Linked DNA regions of Rattus norvegicus. The protein of the gene in region 3 interacts with the protein of the main gene of each other region in a pairwise test. Links are inferred from orthologs where the notes say so. Each region holds a gene or a part of one and is shown on either strand. Other genes may lie near its edges. The genes, in order: Gnmt, Zfp496, Arr3 and Dvl2.

Region 1 (6,079 bases), on a different chromosome or scaffold from region 3:
GCAAAAGCCCACCTGGCTGGAGGTAGCTGCCACCTGCCACCTGAAGGCTGCCTCCCTCCAGGAGATACCCTGAGATCCCTAGTGGGAGGCCCTTGTGCCCAGGAGAAGAGGCAGGGCTGGCAGCTTGGGGGCGTGGCAGCCTGGAATGGGCATTGAGGCCCCAGTTCTCAGACAGAAAATAAAGTCTATACTGCCCCCTGCTGGTCTTGTGAGAGGTTGCGGTGCAAATGCCAAGGTTATGGGAAGAGTAAGGTCTAGGGAAGGTGGGATGAACACCACATTACTTCTGAAAGAAACACAGGGCACAGGATTGGCAAGGGAAGGCTGTATTGTCGACTCCCTGTTTGCCTGCCCCCCACATCTCTGCAATATCTGTGGTAGGCGATGGTCTTAGGGTGGGAGCCGGAGCCAGGCTCAGCCTGTCTTCTTGAGCACGTGGATGAAGTAGCAGGGAACGTAGGCCTGGCCGGGCCTGTAAGGCTTGAAGTCACCCAGGACGCTGTGCTGGCACCTGCCCCCAAAGGCTTCTTGGACCAACTCCGTGAAAGACGCCAAACAGTGTGGGTAGTAAGAGAGCCGAAACTTACTGCAACAGGGCCCCCAGCCAAATAATGAGGGCTGCTGGCCTCAAGTCTCCCCCACCACCACCTCTCCTGCCAAATCATGCCATACCTGAAGCCAGGAGCGCCATCTCTGCCAGCACCTGGCACCTGCACTGTGTAGTCCAGGGTTACCATGTGGGCTTTGTTGTTTACTGTCAGCACTGATGTCGTAATGTCCTTGGTCAGGTCACTCTGAGGGCAGTGGCATCAGCTGCATTAGCTTCCATTAGTCCACCATGGGACTTCTCCAGCTCCCGTCCCACTGGGGACCAGCCCAACCTTATAGTAGATGTTCTTCCCTGGGGGTGCACAGCCCGTGCTGAGGATGTAGTCGTAGTTGCGGTGGTCGATGACCAGCAGGCCCCCGGGCCGCACCATGCTTGCGATGTTCTTTAGCGCCAGCCGGTGCTCACTCTGGTCACCTGGGTGCCAGGCAGGGCCACAGACACCATCTGCTTGGGCACCCGCACCTCTATTCCTCCCACCTCCCTCCCAAGTGCCAGCACTAAAGAGGACAGGCAAAACGCAGGTCAGCCCTTATCACAGCAGCTGGCCAGCCGTCGGCGGAAGTGGTGGAGCTCAAGGCAAGAGCCACAGCCAAGGCCACCAGCTTACCTTTGCTGTCCGGCAAGTGAGCAAAACTGTTCCCAAGGCAGATGACAGCGTCAAAGCCATCTCCTGCTGGCACATCTTTGTCCAGAGTCAACCAGTTGGCTTCTTCAATGACTAGAGGCCGGGGGAGGAGTTCGAAGTTATAGCACAGCACAGAAGCAACCACCTCCACCCAGAGACACGCGGGGATTCATTAGGGACAAGGAGGGTGACATGGGAGAGAGCCATTGTTGGAAAAGCCAGCTCTCCACTCGGGCTTTTGTACGGAGGAGAGAGAGGATGCCGTAAACAGTGCAGGTCCAGTGTATTATGTGTACACCTCTGGACCCTGCTGGATGGGAAACCGAGACAGAAGCATCCATCACCTGAACCCAGCCCAGCCAGACCAGGCAGCACGGGAAAAATATAAAGAATGCTAGCCGTGTAGCTCAGTGGTCACCTGTCCACTTAGCATGCCCAAGTTCAAACCCTAGCACCAAAAATGGCACAAACCTGCTCTTAGCACCTGGAATCCCACTTTGATGTCAAAGCCTCCCTTTTTAGGAAGGTCAGAGGAACTGCACCTTGCCCTGAGGAAAACCAGCCAGCCCACCCTGCATGAAAGAGCTAGGGCAGACAGAAGAGTGGCCCTGGAGATGCATGCCCCAGGGGCATGGCTGGACAGACATACCCCACTTGTCAAAGGCTGGCTCCTTCCTCCGGTTCCAGCGCTCCTTCAGTGCGTATTTCAGCATCTTGTCGCTGGCATCCACACTCGTGACGCTAAAGCCCTCTTCCACCAGCATAATCGAGTCCACTCTGGATGAGGTCAGAGACCAGGGACTGAGAGGCCCAGTCAGAGGGGTCTGGGGACCCAAATGTGCATGACGTTTCCCCAAACATAACATTCCAGAGTCCTTTCCTCTGCTTCCTGTCCCAGGCCATCTATACTGACCTCAGACGACCCCTTAAGAATATTCCTTTTCAAGGGGTTGGGGATTTGGCTCAGTGGTAGAGCACTTGCCTAGCAAGCGCAAGGCCCTGGGTTCGGTCCCCGGCTCCAAAAAAAAGAAAAAAAAAAAAAAAAAGAATATTCCTTTTCAGGTAGCAAGTTTTTGAAAGGGTTTTTAGCCTGATTTAAATCATGAGTTCTGGGACAGCTGGGGCTACAAAGAGAGACAATGTTTCAAAAACAAAAAATCAAACTTTAATTTTATGTGTCTTGCCTAAAAAGTCCATCATGTGTGTGCCTCGCGTCTGCAGAAGCCAGGGGAGCGTGTTGACACCGAACTTGGGTCATCTATAAGAACATAAGCCATCTCCCCAGCCCCCCCCCTTTTTTTTTTTTTTTTGGTTCTTTTTTTCGGAGCTGGGGACCGAACCCAGGGCCTTGCGCTTCCTAGGCAAGCGCTCTACCACTGAGCTAAATCCCCAACCCCCCCAGCCCCCTCTTGTTAGAGATAGTATCTCATTATGTAGCCCTGGATGGCCTGGAACTCACAGAGACCCACCTATTTAGGCTCTCCCAAGTGCTGAGATTAAAGATATGTGCCACCACTCCTGCCAGCAACATTTTTTTTTAAGTTTTCAATGATGTCTCTATGTGTACATGTGAGTGCAGTGGCCCGCATGGCCAGGAGGGGGCGCTGACTTCCCCCTGGGATGGAGTTCCAGGCGATGATGAACGTGCAGTTGAGAACCTGGCGTGCTGGTGCTCCTGGAAGTTCTCTCAGTCAGAGGTGTCTCTGTGTGTCCTGTGTTGACTTTGGAGCGTGGGTCAGACCCTATCCTGGTCTATATCCTCTCCACCAAATGGAGGCCTTTTACCTCTTGGAAATGAGTTCCTTTAATACTGGTTGGAGAAAACCACTACTTACCTCATGGGGTTTTGTTACAGTTTGCAACACATGTACCCAAACTCCTGGCACAGCTCTTGGCTGTGCAAACGTGCCACAAATGTTCTGTTCACACTGCCAGAGGCCATCGCAGGAGGAACAACGCTGGAGCCAAGGATCAAGCTTGACCCAATGCTCGGCTTTTGCTGTCCCATGAGCCCTTCTCTGTTCACACCCGGGTCCTGAGTCTCCCTGGCCCCCTTCCCACACTGGTTCGGCAGATGCTCTCACCATGTCCATTCTACCCCGATGAGCAAGGACTCTTGACCCCCTAGTACTGCCTGCCAGGCTCCAGCCCACAAAGGCTGCCCCGAATGGCCTTCCTGTGGTGCAGTAGTCCTAGTCAAGCCAGCTCGTTTGGACTCACCCTGTGCCACAGGCCACGTCCAGCACCCGGTGGCACCCGTGCTGGCGCAGCAGCCCAAGCAACCACGCCTTGTACTCTGCAGTACGGCTGCGGGTGTCCCCGATGTACAGCTGCCACACACGTGCGGCCTCCCCATCCGCATACTGGTCGGGGATCCCTTCGGCCGCCACCCCCAGGGAGCGGGTACGGTACACGCTGTCCACCATCCTGACGGCGCTTGGCTCTCAGGCCACTAGCTCCGCACGCACTTATAGTCCTCTGGCAGGGCGGCCCCACCTGGCCAATGGCAGGTGAGCGCAGGGACACGCCCCTGCTGGGCCCTGGGCCAGGCAGGCTGCCCCCGCGGTGAGGATAGCTCAGCCTGGCAATCCTGGATCTGGTTTTCCCATAGTCAGATAGGTCAGATAGGACGCACCAGGGTGGCCAGGAGGAACCAATAAAGTAAAGCACCCCTACCTAAGTAAGAAAGGGAAGACGACTTTGAAATCCGCCCAAAGCAGAATTAGACCAGGCCCAGCACAGTAAGCTGTCTACATATCACACATAACATTTAGTGGAGGGAACACTCCACTAATCAGGCTTTGAGAAAGGTGGCCGAACATCCAAGTACAGGAGTACACCTGGAGATAGGCGTGTATCTCTCTAGGTGATAGCATCGGTCTCTACCTCACCGCTTGCGCCTCCTAAGGTAGCCTGGGCCTTCCAACCCACAGGCTGTTATACACTCTGCACTCTCCGAAAGCCTGGTGTAGTAAGGTTGAGACAGGAGGATTATTTGTGCTCAAGAATTGGAGAACCCTCTGGGAAACCTTGTAAGCCTGCTTTCCATGGGGGCGCCGGCAGGGGGAGAAGTTCAGGGTCAGGAGTGAAGGTCACCTAGTGTCCCAGCTCTGCCTGGCATCACTTCATAACTCTGGGGTCAATTTGGCTCATCCGCTCACTCTTTTTTCCCCACCAAGGACAAGATCCCAGCAGGGATAAAGCAGGTTCTGGAAGATGTGTGTGACCAAAGACTCAGATGCGGCAGGGGGAGGGGGGAGCCTTCCAGCCTCGCCCCCTCACTTCCAACTCCACAAAGATTAGTTACAGCAAGAGAAGCCCAGAGATGCCTCCCTCCCCTAGCCTTTCTGATGTAGGGAGAACCCCAGAGATGGAAGAACAACTACAACTGTGTGACCTTTTATTTTTATTTATTTTATTTATTGTATGTATGTGAGTCCACTGTCACTGTCTTCAGACACACCGGAAGAGGGCATCAGATCCCATTACAGATGGTTGTGAGCCACCATGTGGTTGCTGGGAATTGAACTCAGGATCTAGGCAAGAGCGATCATTGCTCTTAACCACTGAGCATCTCTCCAGCCCGATGATCTAACTTTTTTTATAATGTGTATAGTTGTTTTGACTTCATATATGCCTGTAGATGTCTGGTACCCATGGAGACCAGAACAGAGCATCAGATACTCTGAAACTGGAGTTACCAGCAGTTGTAAGCCACTGAACCTCCAGAGGAGCAAGTGGGTTTATTGTGTTTGTATTTTGTTTGTGAGACAGGGTTTCTCTGTGCAGCCTTGGCTGTCCTAGAACTCACTCTGTAGACCAGGCTGTCATGGAACTCAGAGATCTGCCTGACTCTGCCTCCCAAGTGCTAGGAATGAAGGCATGCATCACCCTAGCTGCAGATAGGGCTCTTAATGGCTGACCTATCTCTCCAGCCCACATTTTTTTAATTTTGTTAGCACAGAGCAATTGCAAATGGTTCTTTCCAGGCTCAGGCTCGGGGACTCAATGTCCCAATACACAGGTCTCTGACACTAGGCTCAGAAAGAGTCTCAAGGCTGAGTGTGATGGTGCATGCTTTAAGTCCAGTACTTGGGAGCTGGGGACAGAAAAGCTGGAGTTCAAGGTTGTTCTAGGCTACATAAAGTTCAAGGCAAATCTGCTACATCAGTCCAAAGAGCAGAGAGACTGGATTTAGGAATTTCAAGTAAATCCGATGCCATGCATTAAAACATTTGGGGGATAAACCTATCAACCCTAGACTTTCAAATCTCATCTGAACATTTTTTTTTTTTTAAGATTTATTTATTTTTATGCATAGCATTCTGCCTGCATATGTGACTGCAGGCCAGAAGAGGGCACCAGATCTCATTACAGATGGTTGTGAGCCACCATGTGGTTGCTGGGAATTGAACTCATGACCTCTGGAAGAGCAGTCAGTGCTCTAACCACTGAGCCATTTATCCAGCCCTCATCTGAACATCTTAAGTGGTATATTTTCATTTATTTATTTAGGTTTTAAAAATTGGGGAACCAGGTATAGCAAGTGATAGGTACTTTTTTGCTTTTGAGACAGGGTTTCTCTGTGTAGTCCTGGCTGGCCTTGAACTGCCAGAGATCAGCTTGCTTCTGCCTCCCGAGTGCTGGGTTTAAAGGTGAATCCACGACCCAGCTAAATGTACATCTTTAATCCCAGCACTCAGGAGGCAGAGGCAGTTGGATCCCTGTGAGTTACTGGACAGCCTGGGCTACGTAGAAACCTTGTCTCAAAAAGCATCAACAACAACAACAACAACAACAACAACAAAATGTGTCTGTGTTCAGAAGAAAGCAGGTGAAACTCA
Region 2 (6,234 bases), on a different chromosome or scaffold from region 3:
TTGGGGAACCAAACTCTAAGGAACCAAGAAGTGACCTATTACAACTCAAAGGACTGGTGGCTCAGGTTTTGAGTGTAACACATCCCCCCTCTTTGCAGCTGTTGGAGGTTTAAACAGATACTCAAACCCTGCCGCAGGGCACTGCAGCCATCTGCAGGAGAGGTCACTGTGCTCTCCCAGGGGATTTTAGATTTCTTACAGCTGCAGGGTAACCTAGCCAAGAAAATGTGGTTTCTGAGAGGACAGAAGACAGAGCCATGCTTAGATCAGGTCCTGGTCCCACAGTGACTACCTCTGTCTCCACTGAGAACACACTCAAAGAAAGAAGACCATATAATCTCACAGCATCTGTTCACCCAGGCCTTCCCTCTGAGAGGACTCCATACTAAGAAGAGACTCTGGGTTGGTTGCTCTACGGAAAGACCCAGAATACAGTAATAGGTCGTGGGTCAGAGAGTGTAAAAGGCCATCACTTTAGTCAACACCCAAGCACACTACAAGCCGCATACCTGGGTCTTCACTAGGCTGGCCTGGCGATCTGCTTAGGAGCCCAGGGTCCTGTGCTAGAGCCCCCGGCAGGGCATCAGGGTTGCTCTGGGACTCTGCAGACATTCGTTCTTGTTCTAGATCCTGAGGCGCAGGCCCATCACCGTCATCAATTACCACGGGGTCTTCACAGTGCTTGAGCTGCAATCCCAGAGAAAGCAGATCAGGGCCCAAGTAGAGGAGGATGATAAAGCCGGCCCTTAGGCTCTGCACAGGGCTGGGTAGGCCTTCTCCCTTTCTGATCTTGCCGGCACCGACTTGCTAGGTAACAATTCTCTCAACTTAGACTTAATAGAGAGTAATGTTTGCTTTCTTAGGAAACCAAACACTGGGTCTGGACAGAATTTCTCATCTGGGGTCAGAAGTCTCACAGGGTCAGCAAGGGCTCCCCTCTCCCAGATGCCCCGTGCTCACCCACTGCCAGGGTCTCCCTGGCTCCCGTTCCAGAGCCTCTACTGCAGCCACAGCCTGCTCTCCGCTCTCAGGCTCCTGGGCACGCACCCAGCTCTGGATCTCCCACGGCAGGATAGCCAAGAACTGCTCCAGCACCAGTAGTTCCAGGATCTGCTCCTTCGTGTGCCTTTCGAGCCTCAGCCAGCCCCGGCACAGCTCCCAGAGGCGCTGCAGGGCCTCCCGAGGGCCTGCGGCCTCCTGGTAGCGGAACCGGCGGAAGAGGCGTCGAGAGGACTCTGGGCTGGGAGGCTCACCCTGAGGGCTGGGGTTCTCTCCAGGAGGACTCCGCATTTTCCTGGGCTCCTCGCTTTCCTTTGGAGCCAAGACTCGTGGGCACAGGGCTGTGGGCATGATGGGATTTGATGGAGGGTCAGCGGCAGAAGACGACCCTATTTCCAAACAGAAATCGCTGGCTTCAATGCTCTGGTCTCCTGTGGTTATTTCTGAGGGGGTGCTAGACAGAGCCCATGGGAGACCAGCCCTTGGAGGAATCCCTGGGAAATGTAAGAAGTGTTGGTGTGACAAAGAAAGATGACCCTTCCCACAAGCCATCACTCCATGTGCAGTCCCCTAACACGTGGCAGTAAAAAAGGCAGTAAATTTGAGAGAAAAGTGGTGTCATTCCAACAGGATTCCAGGGCCCCAGGAGAATCACAGACAGCTATGTGTAACCAAGGTTTGTGATACCTTTGATGGGCAGGTCCTCCCGGAGGATATAGCCCCAGGCGGCGATAATCTGGACGCTTTGGAGACAAAGTCACTGTCTCTGTTCTTGAGGTCTTCACAAATTGAACTGAAGAAAAAAAAATATGTAAGGGAAGAGTCATGGAAGACCACTGTGGAACAATGTCACTCTGCCAAGGACAGGATGCATGGACAAAAGCCCAAGAGAGCTTTCACTGGGCATTGGCAAGGACAAAAACCCCCAGGCACAGAAGGAACACAGAGCTAGCCACAGAGGTTTACCTGAGAAAAATAACACTGTATTTAAAAACACTTGTGCTAGGCCTGGGGGGTGCAGCTCACGGACAGAATGGCAGCTAGTGCACCAAAACTGTGTCTCTTCCCCAAATAGTGCTTTATGACAAGCCTTCTACCCACCTGGGTCCAACACGGGAACTATAATCTCTTGGGGTCGGAGAGGCAGCAGAGTGGTTAAGAGGACACGCTATTTTTCCCACTACCCACCCCTCAAGTCATCCTGTACGTTCAACTCCAGGGTCTCCCACACCCTCTTCTGGCCTCCATCGGCACCACACCCAAGCGCACAGACCCACACAAAGATGTCCACAGAGGCATACACATTATTTTAAAAAATCTTAAAATTTTTTAGAAGTTCTTGTTATGTAGTTAAGCGTGCAAGTGAGTTCATAAGTGTGTGTGTGAGTAAAGGGGTTGGTGGGAAGGTAAGGGAGAAATTATGTAATTATATTTTAGTATCTAAAAATGTACCTAATTCCTGATCCTGAGGGAAAGGGAAATTATGTAATTATGTTTTAGTATCTAAAAAATGTACCTAACTCCTGATCCTGAGGGAGGCAGTCATGGCCAGACTTTCAGTTCTCTGGGAACTCCGAGTGCCACAGATTCACACACAGACACACACAGACACACACACACACACAAATTCAGCAAACACACCAGGGGCACCAGCCACAGCATGGTCTCTTCCACTTGACCCACACTTTCGAACACTCTGAGAAAAGGCAATCGGAGACACAGGGTTCTAACCTAACCGCTCTCAGGATTCTGGAAACCCCAGGCAAGGTCACTGACTGGCCCTTTACACCCTCACCTGGAAGAGATTCCCAACGGGGCAGCACCACTTTGCAGGAAGACAAGCGATAACAGAAAGCCGCCAAGCGACCGAACAACTTGGAACCCCTAACTTTGCTGTATTCCTTCGATTTCCGAAGTAAAGACAGACAACCGAAGAGAGTCTCAGAAAGCAACAGGCTGTGAACCGCGAATACTCTCGTCTTACTCCGGTATTAAGAACCCAGTCTGGGCCCCGCCCGCTATCTTCAGCTTCCTCCGCCCACTATCTCCCACCTGCTGGGCCCTGAATGGCTCAGGTTTGCACGTAGGATAGGGTACCCAGGGTCCCACCCTCAGCATTCAATTCTGATGTGAAACTGCTCTCAGAGAGTCCTAGGCCAGACAAGCGTGTGCCTCTTTGTCACTCTGGCACCTGGCGCGCAGGAGCCTCGGGAGCGGAAGCTTTATGAATGAACTACCGTTAGTGAGGGGAGGGCTCCCGCAGGGGCGGGGCTTGCCCAAAGCAGTTATTGAAGGAGCAGGATCCCAGGGAAGGAATGAGGAGGAGGAGGAGGGTGTTTTAGGCCAGGAGAACTATGGGGGTTTCTGTCGCTTACTCTTTCAGATTCGCTGGCTCTTCACCTCGAAGCCTGGGGACAGCAGGGGAGCAGATCCTCACCTTCCAGCTCGGTCTCTCTGGTGTCTTGGCCAAGGCGGCTCCAATGCATGGGCCAGACTCGGTCCCTGGCCAGGCCAACCCTGTCTCGTGATCCTCTAGAATGCATCAGCTGGGCTTGGGAGCGAAGGGAGACGCCTGAAAGATAATCGTATGGCTTCATCCCCGAGGGCACCTATGAGGACGCGGCTCTGGGAGCAGGGATCCGGGCCCGGACGCGGGAAGAGGAGAACAGGGAGCAGGACCCAGGCGCGGGGCTGGGTTTCAGAGCGCGGGAAGTGGGGAGCAAGATCCGGGTTCAGGCAGCGGGGCATGGGAAACCCGGCCGCGGTATACTCACCGCTGCGCAGCGTCCCGGTTGGCGGGCCGCGCAGGCCGGGCCGCCGCGGAAAGGAAAGGCCGGAGCCCTCCGGCTCCCTCCCCTGGGACACTTCCTGCACCGCTCTAGGACCGAGGAGGTCTCCTCATCTCAATGGTTCGCTTCCCCGCCTCCGGGCCGAGGTGTACGCGGGGGGTGACATCCGACACCCCCGGCCCGCCTGGCCCGCCCCGCCCCGCCCTGCTCCGTGTTCGCCGGCCTGGGCGCGGGGCCCGGGCTTTAGCTTTGTGGGTCTTCGTAGTCCGCTCGGGATGCGCGCGCGCCCCGGCGGGACCGGGGCGCTGGGGGCCAGTTCGCGCGGCCACCAGCCAAGGAGGCCGGCCTGGGGCTTCGCTCTTCCCTGCTCCTCTCGTGTGGGTGCAGGGAAGGGCTGGTCTGGCGGCGCTGGCGAAATGCCAGAATTGGGAGGAGGAGGAGGGAGGAGGTGTAAGGGGATCTCCCTGTGACCACCCGCATCCCGTGTGTGCTGTTGCGCCCCAACCCCTTCCAGCCAAAATTCCATCTCAAAGCCAACGCTGCCAGAGTCACCCAAATCAGTACGACTAGAGAAATGCAGACCCGGCGATCCACTGTGCTTGCCGAAGCATCGGCCCGCGCCTTCGTGGCGAGGAGATGATCTACAGTTTCTCTGTAGCACTCTGGGTCCCTCTGAGCACTAGGACAGTCCTGGTGAGTACGGAGAGAGAAGGCTGCCAATCCTGAGAGTGTGAATCAGGGAGCTTGACGCTGGCTTAGTGCATGGACAGAGTGACTTCAGTCACGGAGAGTGAGAAGCTCTAGCATTGGAATCGATTTCTGTTGCATCTACCCTGTGTTAAGTAGAGTCCAAATCCTCCCTTATTCTCCAGGGCTGGACAATGGAACCGCACTGTCAAAGGAAAGTGCCTAGAAGCAAGCTACTGTGCTGATTCCCCCCTCCCCCGCATTCTCTTGCAAGGGTACATCATGGTAGGAAGTCAGTTCCCTTAAAGAAGATGACTTGATAGAGATACCCCACGACCAGCCGACTGCTTTTGTCTTGTGGGCCTTCGTGCGTCCATTTCCTTCTAATGACTCGGATGATTACTTCCGACTAGTAGGTATTGAGTCAGATGTCCAGATTTTGTGCCGTTAGGAGGTGAACCAAGTGGATATGTTCTCTAAGTGCAGCCGAACTGAGCAAGCAAGGGTCACCCAAAGGTCACCCAAGGGTCACCAAGGCATAAAGCAACAGGAGCCACCTAGACTTACAAATTCATGCCAGTCCCTTAGCAAGAACACCAGCCAGGAAGCACAGCCTAGCGTGACCAAAGGACCGCCCCCTCCCCACTGGGGGAGTCAAGCCTAGTGATTAGCCCAGCTGTGCATCCTGAAGGGCTGCTGTTGAAGCTCCGCCTGGTGGCCGCTGAATATTTGAATTCCTTCTAAGAGTCTTGCTTATTGGAGCCCTCACGCAGGTAAAATTGCAGGGCCAAGAGGTGGCTGGTACACTTCATGGGATTCTTTTTTTCTTCACATACACACCTTCCCTTTAGTTCATCCCCCTGAGCTCGAAGCTCTCAGGATTCCAGTCCCCTCTCTAGGTTTGGTAGCTGCCAATGGCTCCAATGTGCCTTCGTTTTGTGCTTCTTCAGCACAGGACCTGGCTTAGGGACTAGTAGGTTGGGTTTGGGATCAGAGCACCTGGGTTAAATCATGCCCATCGAGGCCCAGTCAGGTGATCTAAGGCCTGCATGGCCTTTCTGTGTTCAGGTGCCTCGTGCAGAAGACTGATGCTGTCTGCTTCATTCTGTGGCTATTCAGGAAATGTGTACCGAGAGTCTACAAGACACCTGCAGTTTGAAGCTCCCATTCAGATCCCGGGGCACATCTGTGCACTCTGCTGGCCGTTGGAAGGGCAAATAGTGAACAGACCTGTGGTCTTTGGAGCCACGGGAATCCAAATCAGAGCAGCAGCTTCAAGGCAGCAGGGCTGGGCGGGGCCCAGCATCGCTTCTAAGCTGTACTGAAGTCAGGTGGGTCAGACATGCTAGCAAAAGTGGTCTTTGAAATGAAGGAGTTTAGGTGATCCGGCCCTGAGGCAGCACTAGAAGCCACAGAAAGGCACCACATTCTGTAACAGCCAGGGTTCTGTCGGAAGTTGTGGGTGAAGTACCGATGACACTTGTAAACCCTGTTGTCACAATGATTCCCCGCCCCACCCTCATTGATCAGACAGAATGGCGGCCATAAAGTGAGCAGGACTTTTATTCTTGCCAAGAATGGGGGAGGCAGACTTGAAAGGCAACGTCTCAACCTTGGGCGTGAGGGGATTGTAGCTATGGAATAACTGAGGGGAGCGTGCCTTGGTGCAGGCCTATAGTTCCAGCACCGAGACTGAGGCAGGAAGTCAGAGAGCTCCAGGCCAGCCTGGGCTGTGCTTCATGTCTAGTAGCAGGACAGC
Region 3 (4,890 bases):
TTTGGCTAAAGTTATTTCTGTTTTCCATTACCACTTAAGCAGAAAAGTGGGCCTGGCTTTTAAGAGTGAGTGAAACTTGCTTCTCTGCTTTCACACTCCCTACCCCAGAAAAGCTAAGAAAAAAGATGTGCCCTTTATTTCTACAGTGGAGGTGAAGCCATTTAAGGAAGGGCAGAAACCATACTAGAATAGCTGTTTTAGTATATGGACAGTGAATTAAAAGCAATTTTAAAGGTTCAGAGGCTCAGATGATTTTGTGCTTTCAGGCTGCATGATAGGGGGTGGTGGACGAACTTTGCCACCTCGCCATCATAGGGTGAACTACGGTTATCTAAAGGTAAGTAGTAGTGGGAAACTAGAGACCTTGCAAAGGCTATGTCATAAAGAGGAATGGGTGTTCTGTTTCTCACACTGCAACTGGTTTGGGCACTCGTCCCAACAACCATCACATTGAGGTCTCCAGATTATTCTTCATCCTTTTCTGCAGAGACTTGCCTAGGCAAAGGAAAAGGAAAAGAACCGGATAGTGAAAACCTGTAGTTAGTGGATGAGGTTAAATCCTTACATATAATCATGCTGGCCTAGGGCCTGGAACACTGGAAGCCTTGAACCCATGACGTTTCCAACACTGGGTTCTGATGCCTCGAGTAGACAGCACAGTAGCACCTTCATGTGAGGATTAAACTTTAAGTGTGTAGACCAACAAACCTTACCATGTGTTGGTCATGGTACACACCACATTGATGACATCACCTCTGTCTCCTCATACATCTAGTATGTACTTGTCTCTTTGAAAGGCCAGAGGCTCTCAGAATCCTGTCCCCTGCCAGCACACACCCTAGCTGGTCAACAAAAGACTCAGTCTAGAGGTAGCCTCCTCCTCTCATTCCGTGCTATTCATAGCTCCTTATCTTAAAGCCCATCTTAGACCAGGAATAGGAACCTGACTTTGCACAGAGGTCGGTATTTGTGTTTCTTATTAGTCTCTAGGACATGGCCTCTGGCCTCATTCCAGGGCTCCTGGCCTCACCTTAAAAGGACCAGAAACATTCCTTGAACCGAGCAGGCAGAAATACTGTAACAATGATTTTCTGTACTTGAACCTGTACCACCTGACATCACCATGTTCTCCTCCAGTAGCAACCGTTGACAGTTGTCATCATAGCCAAGTCTAGGAGTGGCCACACCCTTTTGGCTTCCTCTGTGGGGTTCTTTACAGTGTAAGAACCAGGTACTGCTAGACCAAAAGTAATTACAAGAGTAAGTCGTCAGGCAGGGACTAGGGTAGCTGAGGCCAGAGAGAAAAGGCAAGTGACTCAGAGGGACCACATAGGGGCAAATTACCTAACACAAGATACCTAATCAAGCTTGTAGGTAAGGGTGGGAGAGGTACAGGCGCCTGCAGCAGAGATCATTATCTGGAGTTCCGTGTTCTCCCAGAGGAAAACAAAAGGCACAGAGATCACACCAGCCATGTCCAGACAAAACCTTTTATTAGAGTGTTACAACAGGGGCTTCCACACAGAATTATCAGAGATGACTATCGGCTCTTAACTGTGTCTGCTGTTGGAGCTTTCTAGCTTTGTGTCTGGCTGTTCTGCTGCATAAACTCTTCGACAACTATGTCCTCCGAGCTTGCAGGAGCAGCAAAGGGGAAAGGAGAGTTATCAAACCCCTCTCTGGGCTTCCTCCACATTCTTGATTCTAGAGAGGTAATCACTTCCCTGCTTCTCAGCCTTCCCCTCCTTGCCCCATGGGGAGGGCTTGTTTCCCTTCTGAATCTGTCTAGACAATGGTGTCAAGGTGCATTAGAAGGGAAACAGTGGAGCATGGGGTACAGGGAAAGGATTAAAAAAAGATGAGGATGATGTGGAAAAGGAGGACCCCAAGTCACAGAGAAAGCACAACCAACCTAGTTTTCCAGGGAGTGAGGGATCACAAGAACAACTTAACAACAGAATGGGATTTCGGAGGGAAGAAAAGAGAGAAAGAAAAATGGAAAGGATGGGGCGGAATAAAATTTCCCAGAAGAGCAGCAAGTGAAGGGCAGGGAGGCTGACAGGACGGAGGGCTGTGGAAAGCACCAAACTGACATGAAGCTAAACCATGGTTCTGGTGCACAGTCATGAAAGCAACACTTTGAGGAAGCTTTAAAAATTCCATTCTAAAACAGCAATAGGCAAGGGGGAGGGGTGGCATTTCCAAGCCTCATGCTGACCTACCTGGTAGCCACTGTGGCAAGCATGGAGGGGATGGGAAATGGAACTGAAGCTCAGAAGCGTCTGTGCAGATCCATGATATTTTCCTTCTTCCCCCTCCCCCCAGTCCTTCCCCTCCCCCAAATGTTCCTTGAAAAGCTAGACATCCAACCTGCCTATTGTCAGTCTATCTGAAGCCACTCTTTTTTTTTTTAAAGATTTGTTTATTCTATAGAAGTACACTGTAGCTGTCTTCAGAAACCAGAAGAGGGCATCAGATCGCATTACAGATGGCTGTGAGCCACCATGTGGTTGCTGGGATTTGAACTCAGGATCTCTGGAAGAGCAGTCAGTGCTCTTAACCTCTGAGCCATCTCTCCAGCCCTGAAGCCACTCTTTTTTGAGAACTGCTTAGCCCCAAACCCACAGGATAATAGTTCCTGGGAGCCTCACCTGCTCTCTCACCGTGAGGTGGCTTTGGATGGATCAAGATCAGGGGGAGCTCCACACCAACATCACTGCAAGCATCCCAAGGTGGAGTTGCTGATGTTCTTAAAGGACCCAATCAGCAACCTTCCTTCAGTTTTCCCAATCCTCTCAGGCCCTCAGATTCTTCTGAGGGCACCTTTGGTCTCCTCCCTGTCCTGCCTCGGACCTCTCACCCTAGCTTCTCACCTGGCTGGCAGACCTCCTAGAATGCTGTGAATAAAATGACACCCCAAATTAGTAGCTAAAATGGGGAGGAGTCAACCCAGTTTTGCTAGGCATAAGGTATCAGAAGGCCAACTTAGTAACAGAATGGGACTTTAGCAGAGAAAGTGACTTGGGAACTTAGTCTGGAAAAAGAGGAATACCTTTGAATGGGTCAATCCAACAGGGAGAAAAACAAGTAAGAAACTCTTGGCTCCCAGCCCCTGCCCAGACCAAATGGAAATCCTCACTTACCCCCCATAGGACACCATCAAGTTGACTTTAACTTTGTAGGACACCAGGATCCCCAGTAGCTCCTTGTTCATTCCAGGTCGAAGACTTGACATTGTAGTATTAATTTGCGGTGTTAGGAGTATAATTGAATTTACCTCCCCCCAAATCCTTCCCATGCTTTCCTAGTAGCATGTTCCATTGCCTTTGTCGTTGCCCAAAAGATATCCCAGGCTATAACTGTTTCTACCCAATTGAGATGACAGTTTTCTTCCTAAAATTCCATTTGATCATGTTACTGTCTGTTTGAGGGCCTAATTTGTTATTCTGCTTAATTTTCAGGAGCCAAAGAATCTAACCTTATCTACTTCTCTCTTTTCTGCCTGACTGCCAAACACCTAGAGAACAGCCTATGCCGACTTGTCTTCCCATCATACTCCTCAGAGTGCCTTCTAGCATCTTCCCGTGCCATGTTCCCTGTCTGAAATTGTCCTTCTACTATTGGCATTTAGATTTTAAACACTTTTCAAGATCTAGATCATTCTATCTCCTCTAAGAATCCCTCGCCAGCTCTTTTGGCTTTTAGCTTCTATTGGACTCATAATATAAACCACATGCACCAACACTTAACTGTTGGATTACATTTACATTCCTCTTTGTTCCTCATCCAGGTCATATATTTACTAAAGGAAAATATTGTCTTAAATTTCTTTGTATAGCCACATTATATTGCATAGGAATGAGCATTTAATAGGTGCTCAATAGAAACCTGCTGATGGAAAGATGAGATGCCGAAAGTGGAAGGATCTTAGGGTAGTCTTTTGGTTGATTTGGGGGTGCTGAACCCTTTCTACAAAATAATGCTATTTGGATAATTTCCAAGGCTATTGCTATGAATAACAACCTGTAGATACTGGATTGATCAGGCATGGGGAGAATTGGTCATTTATGATTGTAGATGGTAGACAAATTGCTTTGGTGAGAAACACACTTAATGCTAATCTGAAGGCATAGAGACAAATGAATGCCATTGAAGAATTTTATCAATTCCTGCCATATAATTGTCATTACATATTCTCCTTTTCCACCATCTTTCCTTGCCCAACCTTCTACTCTAGTCTACCTTCTCTAGATAGTAACTGTTGTAGAGATCACAGTGTTTAGAGCCAGTTGGCATAAAATAGAATCCTCTTTGCTGCGTACTTATACAATCTTGAACAAATTCCTTGCCTTTGAGCCTTGGAGTCCTTATGTGTAAAATTGAATAACATATCTGGCCGTGATTCGGGATGCAAGGCCCTGAGTTCATTCTCTGCACCTTAGAAACAACAATAAACCCAACCACCTGGCCAGTGTACTTTAATGGTATTCTTTCTTTTTTTCTTTTTCTTTCTTTTTTTCTTCAAGACAGGGTTTCCCTGTATAGTCCTGGATGTAGTGAAACTGTATCTGTAGACCAGGCTGGCCTCAAACTCACAGAGATCCACATGCCTTTGCCTCTCAAGTGCTGGGATTAAAGGCACATGCCACCACTGCCCAGTGATACTCTTAGGAATATAATGATAGATGTAACTAAGGCCTTTGTGAATTGTGTCTTGTTTTTAATTCTTTTATTATCATTGCAGTTTTGTTTATCCATTTTGGACCCTTGTACATTTGTGGGGATGGGGATGCCATGGTGAGCATGTGGAGGGCAGAGAACAAGAATTGGTTCTTTTCTTCCCCATATGGGTTCTGAGGAATCTAACTCAAGCAGTCAGCTTAACAGCAG
Region 4 (6,296 bases), on a different chromosome or scaffold from region 3:
GGATATGTGGCAGGGCTGAGCTGTCACTAGACTCCGGCTGACCCTAGTCTCTTCCTCCTTTTAAGGAAAGCGATTGGCCAGCTTCTGGCTCTAGCTCTCCATTACGAGGTGAGAGTGCAGCAGACAGTGATGGCTGGGACTCAGCCCCGTCGGACCTTCGAACTATCCAGACTTTTGTTAAGAAAGCAAAATCATCAAAGAGAAGGGCAGCTCAAGCAGGTCCTACCCAGCCAGGACCCCCAAGGTCCACTTTTTCTCGTCTGCAGGCCCCTGATAGTGCTACTCTGCTTGAGAAGATGAAGCTCAAGGACTCTCTGTTTGATCTGGATGGGCCCAAAGTGGCATCTCCACTGTCTCCCACATCGTTGACCTCCCGGCCTCCTGCTGCTCTCACCCCAGTGCCACTGTCCCAGGGGGACCTCTCCCAGCCTCGAAAGAAGGACCGAAAGAATAGAAAGTTGGGACCAGGAGGTGGGGCTGGCTTTGGGGTGCTTCGGAGACCTCGGCCAGCTCCTGGGGATGGGGAAAAACGGTCTCGAATCAAGAAGAGCAAGAAGCGGAAGTTGAAAAAGGCCGACCGGGGGGATAGACTCCCACCTCCTGGCCCTCCTAGGGCTCCTCCCAGTGATACAGACTCTGAAGAGGAGGAGGAAGAGGAAGAAGAGGAAGACGATGAGGAAGAGACGACAGTGGTGGGTGGTGGTGGAGTTCCAGCCCCTGTGCTCCCAACACCCCCTGAAGCCCCCAGGCCCCCTGTTACAGTGCACCCTGAAGGGGCTCCCCCTACTGACAGTGAAGGCAAAGATGCGGGCAGCACAGAAACAAGCCAAGATGGAGATGGCAGCTCCAGTGAAGGAGAGATGCGGGTCATGGATGAGGACATCATGGTAGAATCAGGTGAGAAGGGTAGGGCTGCCCCGGCATGGGAAGCTGGGGTGATGGGCTTGGGGGCTGTTATGAGTTAAGCCTTGAAGCAGAACACTAAACAGACTTTTTTCCCCCCAGGTGATGACTCATGGGATCTGATCACATGTTACTGCAGAAAGCCCTTTGCTGGGCGGCCCATGATCGAGTGCAGCCTCTGTGGGACATGGATCCACCTCTCCTGTGCTAAGATTAAGAAGACCAATGTTCCTGACTTCTTTTATTGCCAGAAATGCAAGGAACTTCGGCCAGAGGCCCGGCGGTTAGGGGGTCTTCCCAAATCTGGAGAACCCTGACGTCACTGTTTAAGGCTGGAACTTCTGACATGGGAACTGAGCCTCAGTCTCCAGCCTTCCCTTGGATTGAGGAAGGTGTCCCCACTTGAGGGCCAGAATTCCCAAGGGAGAGGTGTCCTACCTGCTCCGTGGACTTGAAATTGACCCATTACAATTGGGTTAGGGGAGGCTGGATCTGTAGACAAAAATCTCTGTCCAGTGAACCCTCCACCCTTTTCACTTTCAGGGCCAGGGCTCAAACTGGGCTGTAATGGGATAGTTGTCTATGAAACTGTAGTGTAAATACAGCACTCCCTTCCTCACATTTCTTCTTTCTTCCATTTACTTTCTTCTACACCGGATGTATTTTTAATTTTGGGCTCCCCCATTTGAGCGAGGTTGCTCAAAGGTGGAGAACCAAAGCCTGGTGGAGTGAGGAAGGAAAGCAAAAAAGGTGTCAATTATCACTCGCCTTGTTTTTAATAATATCGGCTGGCTGCTTGTACAGACGGCCTACGTGTTGTAAATAAAGCAGAGTGGGCTCTTGTGTTTTACAGCCCTTGTTGTCCTGTTTGGGGAGGGGATCTTTGGGAAACCTGGTGGAACTTTGGGTAGAGTTGGGGCTGAAGCCCACTCTTAAGTCCAGGGCTGTAATTTCACAGTTGTAGAGGTGGAAAATTTAGGGGCTATGTCTGGCTTGGACTCTAGGAGACCCTGTCTAAAGCCCCTCATCACCACCTTCCACGATAAATCAAATCTCTAAAGGAGAAGCTTTCAGCTCTCTCATCCCAAGTACAGTCTAGGAGCTACCTACACTAAGGGCTTAAGTTGAGATTCTCACTTAACAGCCCATAACTCACGCCCCTCTAATAGTTGCTAACTGAGGTCCCTTGAGCCTCAGATGAGTAAAGCAAAGTGGGGGCCAGTTGCCAGCATTCCAGAGAGTAGAAGCTTGCTAAGGTGCTTGGCGGGGGAGGGGGTGTTACACGTTTTGGGGGCGGAGTCGTCTAGGGCTGAAGACCGTTGCTCAAGGCAGTGGTCACGTGAGTGTCTAGGTGGAGCTTGTAGTAACGTGACATAAGGAAGTCACGTGAAGGACAGTCCGCTGCGCAAAGTGGGCGGGCTTGGGTCACGTGGCATGGGGAGAGGTGGGCGGGGACCTCGGTGCTGCTCGCGACGTCCGTGGTGGTAGTGGCCCTCGTCTGTGGGGTCTAGGTTTTGAGTCTCGCCACACGGCTCTTCTCGATCAGACCGCTGTTCCACGCCATCCTCCTTGGACACGTCTTCCGCACTGGCCCTGCACTGCCGGCGCTAGCGCGTCAGTTTGCGGGTGTGCGCAGGCGCGGCGGGGGCGCCTAGTCCTGTTGGGTGGGCGGCTGAGCCCGGGAGCGCGTGAGCGAGACCATGGCGGGCAGCAGCGCGGGGGGCGGTGGTGTAGGCGAGACGAAGGTGATTTACCATCTGGATGAAGAAGAGACTCCTTACCTGGTGAAGATCCCTGTCCCGGCGGAGCGCATCACGCTCGGCGATTTCAAGAGCGTTTTGCAGCGGCCCGCGGGCGCTAAGTACTTTTTCAAGTCTATGGATCAGGATTTTGGGTAAGCGCGAGGCCTAGACTGAGAAGGACGGTGGGTGTGCTGGTGTGGATTGGGAGATGTTGAGGCCTGTAGTGGAGCATAGCATATTGTACTGTGCTAAGGTAGAAAGCCCATCCCAAGACAAACACGGTTATATTTGGACACATAGAAGAACGGGCTGAATTTTAGCAAACCAGAGGCGAGAAATTTAGGTTGGAAAAATGGGGAACATTGGTTTGTTTGGCCATTCTCTCCCCGTGATTTTAGCCAAAAGGCAAATTAGTGATGCTTGAGTTTATTCTAAGCTGCTGAGGCTAGAATCATCTATCGTTTGGTAAGTTGGTACGCTCTCAGACGTCTGCACATGAGTGTATAGAGATGCTTGTAATTTCTTTTTCTGTTTGCTTGTTTTGATTTGTTCTTTTGTCTTGAGGCAGGGCTTTATTCTTTGTATCCTAGGCTGGTTTCGAACTCACGGAGTTCCTGCCTCAGCCTCCAGAGCTGGAATTAACAGGTGTGAGCCAATATGCTTGGCATGCAGTGTCTTTATGTAGACTGGGCTATAGTGAGACAATTTAGGCTATTAGTTAGGCTTATTAATTAGGTTCCATAGTATTTCGGGACGGTGTAATCCGTAATAATGCGGAGAGAGCTCTACTGGGATATATTAGGCTGTCTTGAAGTAGATTTTTCTAGCAAAGCATGTACTAATCTGGACTCTTCTGGGTTCTTATTTTCTGTTAGGGCCAGAACCTTTTTTTTTCCGGGACCGAGGAGAGTTGGAGGATTTTTTTGTTTGTTTGTTTGTTTGTTTATTTTTTAAAAGATACTTTATATGAAAGTTAGTAGTAGTGTGTACATCTTTAATCCAAGAACTTGGGAAACAGAGGCAGACAGATCTTTGAATTAGAGGACAGCCTGTTCTGCAGAGCTAGCGCCAGGACAGCCAGGACTGCACAAAAAAACCTTGTCTGAAAGCAAAACAAACCAAAGATACTTTATGTTTTTGGGTGTTCTGTATGCATAGTTGTGTACCACACGGCATGCAGTGCTCACCGAATCCAGTAGATGGCATGACATCTCTTAGAACAGGAGTTCGCATATGCTAGCCACTTTGTGTGTGCTGGGAATTGAACTCCAGTCTTCTGCTGAGCCTGTCAGTCTACTGCTAAGCCAGAACTTCCTTCTGTTACTGAAGCTAACTAGAACATACCGCCTTGTCTTGAACTTGTAGCAGTCCTGCCACTACATCTGCATCCAGAATGCTAGAACTAGGTATGTGTGGCAATATGCCTGGTCCAGACCTAGGTTTATTATGTTATAAGACAGGACAAATGGGGACAGATAGGCTGGTGGTACCACTACATCACAGCAGAACGGGGTATTGTAATCAATATTGGTGTAGAGGACTGCTAGTATGGAGACACTGGGGGCTATGCCAGAAAAGATTGGGTTTTGGGGTGATTTGTGATGTTCTGGGTGATCCTGGGCTGGACTGGGACTGTAATTATGGTAGAGTACGGCAGCCTTCTGTTGTTGTAGCTGTTGGGACAGCCTTCTGTGTCTCCTGGCTCAGACTGCATTAGGCTGGGATGTCCTGAGTTTATAAGCAGGGATAGTAGGGTCCTGGGGAGAGAAAGGTGACCTACCACCTGGGTAGGGAAGGGACTTCTTACCTGTGAAAGTCCCTGGGTTGGAGCACATCCCCCTCTGCTACTTGAATAGACTGGACCCTCATTAAAGACTGTTCGACTTTGAGAAAGTGATGCGATCTAGGGAGTTGTCTTGGATTTCCATCAAAGTTCTTCTTTTTACATTATAATTTTGGGCAATTTATTTAGCTTTTGTGCTTTGATTTCTTCATCTGTGGCACGGTGATAATCATAGTGCAGAATGCTTAATTTAGGTGCACAGCACATGGTACATTCTGGGTGACTGGTAATTTTCATTTAGTATTGAGGCTAACTAGTTCATAGACTAGATTATAGTGATAGGAAATTGCTTGCTTTAGAGGAGACAGGGCCATGCCAGGTTGGTTTATGTTAGGAAGAGTTATGCTGAGTAGATCAGTGCTGATAGGGCTGTGTTGTCTTGACAGCAGATGTATTCATGAGGCCTATACTCAAGCCCCCAGAGTATATTAGGTTGGAGTTAATCGGACAGATGTATTTATGTGCCATGCATGCCCAGTACCTCTGAAGTTAGAAGAAAGAAGTCAGATCCCTTGGAACTGGAATTATGGATAGTTGTGAGCCACTAGGTAGGTGCTGGGAACCAAACCTGGGCCTTTTGCTAGAACTGTAAGTGCTTTTTTTTTTTTTTTTTTTTTTTTTTTTTGGTTCTTTTTTTTGGTTCTTTTTTTCGGAGCTGGGGACCGAACCCAGGGCCTTGCGCTTCCTAGGCAAGTGCTCTACCACTGAGCCAATCCTCTAGCCCCCATCCCACCCCCAAGAACTTCTACTTTGAGGGTGAGGTTGTTATTGTGTATATGAAAGAATGGTTTGTGGCTCACATTTCGTCTGTGTTTGCTAATGCTTACAAAGGTGAGGGCTTGTGCGCACACCCAGGACACCTGTGGAATAGAATAGGTATTGACACTTTCTCATGGGTATGAGAAGGAACAAGCCTAGTCCACTGCAGGAACCTGTGGGAGGCTGGGCTTTGGGATTTTTCAGGCTGAGCAGATTGCTTAGTGAGGTGAGGCAGCCGGAAATGGGAAGCCCAGCTTCCTCTATTCGTGGGAGCTTTCCACACATGGGGTATTATTGTTGCATTTAGTGTGTTTGTACCCAGCAAAAGCCACACATTTGGGCAGGTTCTGGATGTGAATTAGAGAGAACTAAAATGCAGAGGAACAGCAGCAGATTACATGAGGACCAGAGGCTTTTATGGGACAGATGTGTAGGACAGAGACGGTTAGGCTGCCTGCCAGCCAGACTCCTAAGTTAGGTATCTGGAGCAGTTGTTGGGAACTGTCCCAGAGGGAATTTGGAGTGGTACTATGAGGTTTGGATCAAATGGGAAGAAGTCTTTTTAGCGGCACTGTGCCTCTACAGATGAGTGGGGGAGGAGGGGGTCTTGGGATAAAATAAGGAGAGTCTGGGATTACTTCACTGTAAAAGCAGAGGAGCCAGGCATGGTGAGGCATGCTAGCCATGCGGCATAGCTAGTTTTGGTGACATATGCCTTTAATACCAGGATGGAGAGGCAGAGGCAGGCAGATCTCTATGAGTTTGAGGCCAACCAGGGATACAGCTCGCTGGCTCTCTCTCTCTCTCTCTCTCTCTCTCTCTCTCTCTCTCAGGGATACAGCTCGCTGGCTCTCTCTCTCTCTCTCTCTCTCTCTCTCACACACACACACACACACACACACACTAACTCTGCTGTGCTTGGACTGGATGGAGATTGGGAGAGACTTGGAATGAGATTCGGAATGGGGGTGACCAGTTTAGCCTTACTAATCCCCTCTCCCTGTTTTTTGAGACAGGGTTTCTTTGTGGCGCCCTGGCTGTCCTGGTAC

The links.
Region 1: the proteins of Arr3 (region 3) and Gnmt interact in a two-hybrid assay, tested with the Homo sapiens proteins (2 studies listed by BioGRID and IntAct). The two-hybrid records come from large-scale screens. The link is inferred for Rattus norvegicus from reciprocal best matches to the Homo sapiens genes ARR3 and GNMT.
Region 2: the proteins of Arr3 (region 3) and Zfp496 interact in binary tests that used the Homo sapiens proteins (3 or more experiments, as listed by UniProt). The two-hybrid records come from large-scale screens. The link is inferred for Rattus norvegicus from reciprocal best matches to the Homo sapiens genes ARR3 and ZNF496.
Region 4: the proteins of Arr3 (region 3) and Dvl2 interact in a two-hybrid assay, tested with the Homo sapiens proteins (2 studies listed by BioGRID and IntAct). The two-hybrid records come from large-scale screens. The link is inferred for Rattus norvegicus from reciprocal best matches to the Homo sapiens genes ARR3 and DVL2.

The regions. Positions count from the first base shown.
Region 1 is NC_086027.1:21,749,868-21,755,946, reverse strand, and holds Gnmt (glycine N-methyltransferase), read right to left. Parts: upstream 3,666-6,079; 5' UTR 3,662-3,665; coding exon 3,456-3,661; intron 2,013-3,455; coding exon 1,885-2,012; intron 1,329-1,884; coding exon 1,218-1,328; intron 1,025-1,217; coding exon 882-1,024; intron 795-881; coding exon 673-794; coding exon of another isoform or gene 587-672; coding exon 415-586; downstream 1-414. UniProt on the Homo sapiens protein: Catalyzes the methylation of glycine by using S-adenosylmethionine (AdoMet) to form N-methylglycine (sarcosine) with the concomitant production of S-adenosylhomocysteine (AdoHcy), a reaction regulated by the binding of 5-methyltetrahydrofolate.
Region 2 is NC_086028.1:44,783,364-44,789,597, forward strand, and holds the start of Zfp496 (zinc finger protein 496), read right to left. Parts: upstream 3,826-6,234; 5' UTR 3,774-3,825; intron 3,572-3,773; 5' UTR 3,375-3,571; intron 1,793-3,374; 5' UTR 1,687-1,792; intron 1,389-1,686; 5' UTR 1,351-1,388; coding exon 961-1,350; intron 688-960; coding exon 510-687; intron 1-509. UniProt on the Homo sapiens protein: DNA-binding transcription factor that can both act as an activator and a repressor.
Region 3 is NC_086039.1:69,748,887-69,753,776, reverse strand, and holds the end of Arr3 (arrestin-C), read right to left. Parts: intron 3,228-4,890; coding exon 3,144-3,227; intron 2,898-3,143; coding exon 2,874-2,897; intron 2,717-2,873; coding exon 2,652-2,716; intron 2,233-2,651; coding exon 2,223-2,232; intron 1,713-2,222; exon of another isoform or gene 1,635-1,712; coding exon 1,577-1,634; 3' UTR 1,477-1,576; downstream 1-1,476. UniProt on the Homo sapiens protein: May play a role in an as yet undefined retina-specific signal transduction. Could bind to photoactivated-phosphorylated red/green opsins.
Region 4 is NC_086028.1:55,219,717-55,226,012, forward strand, and holds the start of Dvl2 (segment polarity protein dishevelled homolog DVL-2), read left to right. Parts: upstream 1-2,569; 5' UTR 2,570-2,603; coding exon 2,604-2,797; intron 2,798-6,296. Other genes in the region: Phf23 (PHD finger protein 23), read left to right, coding at 66-897, 1,006-1,220.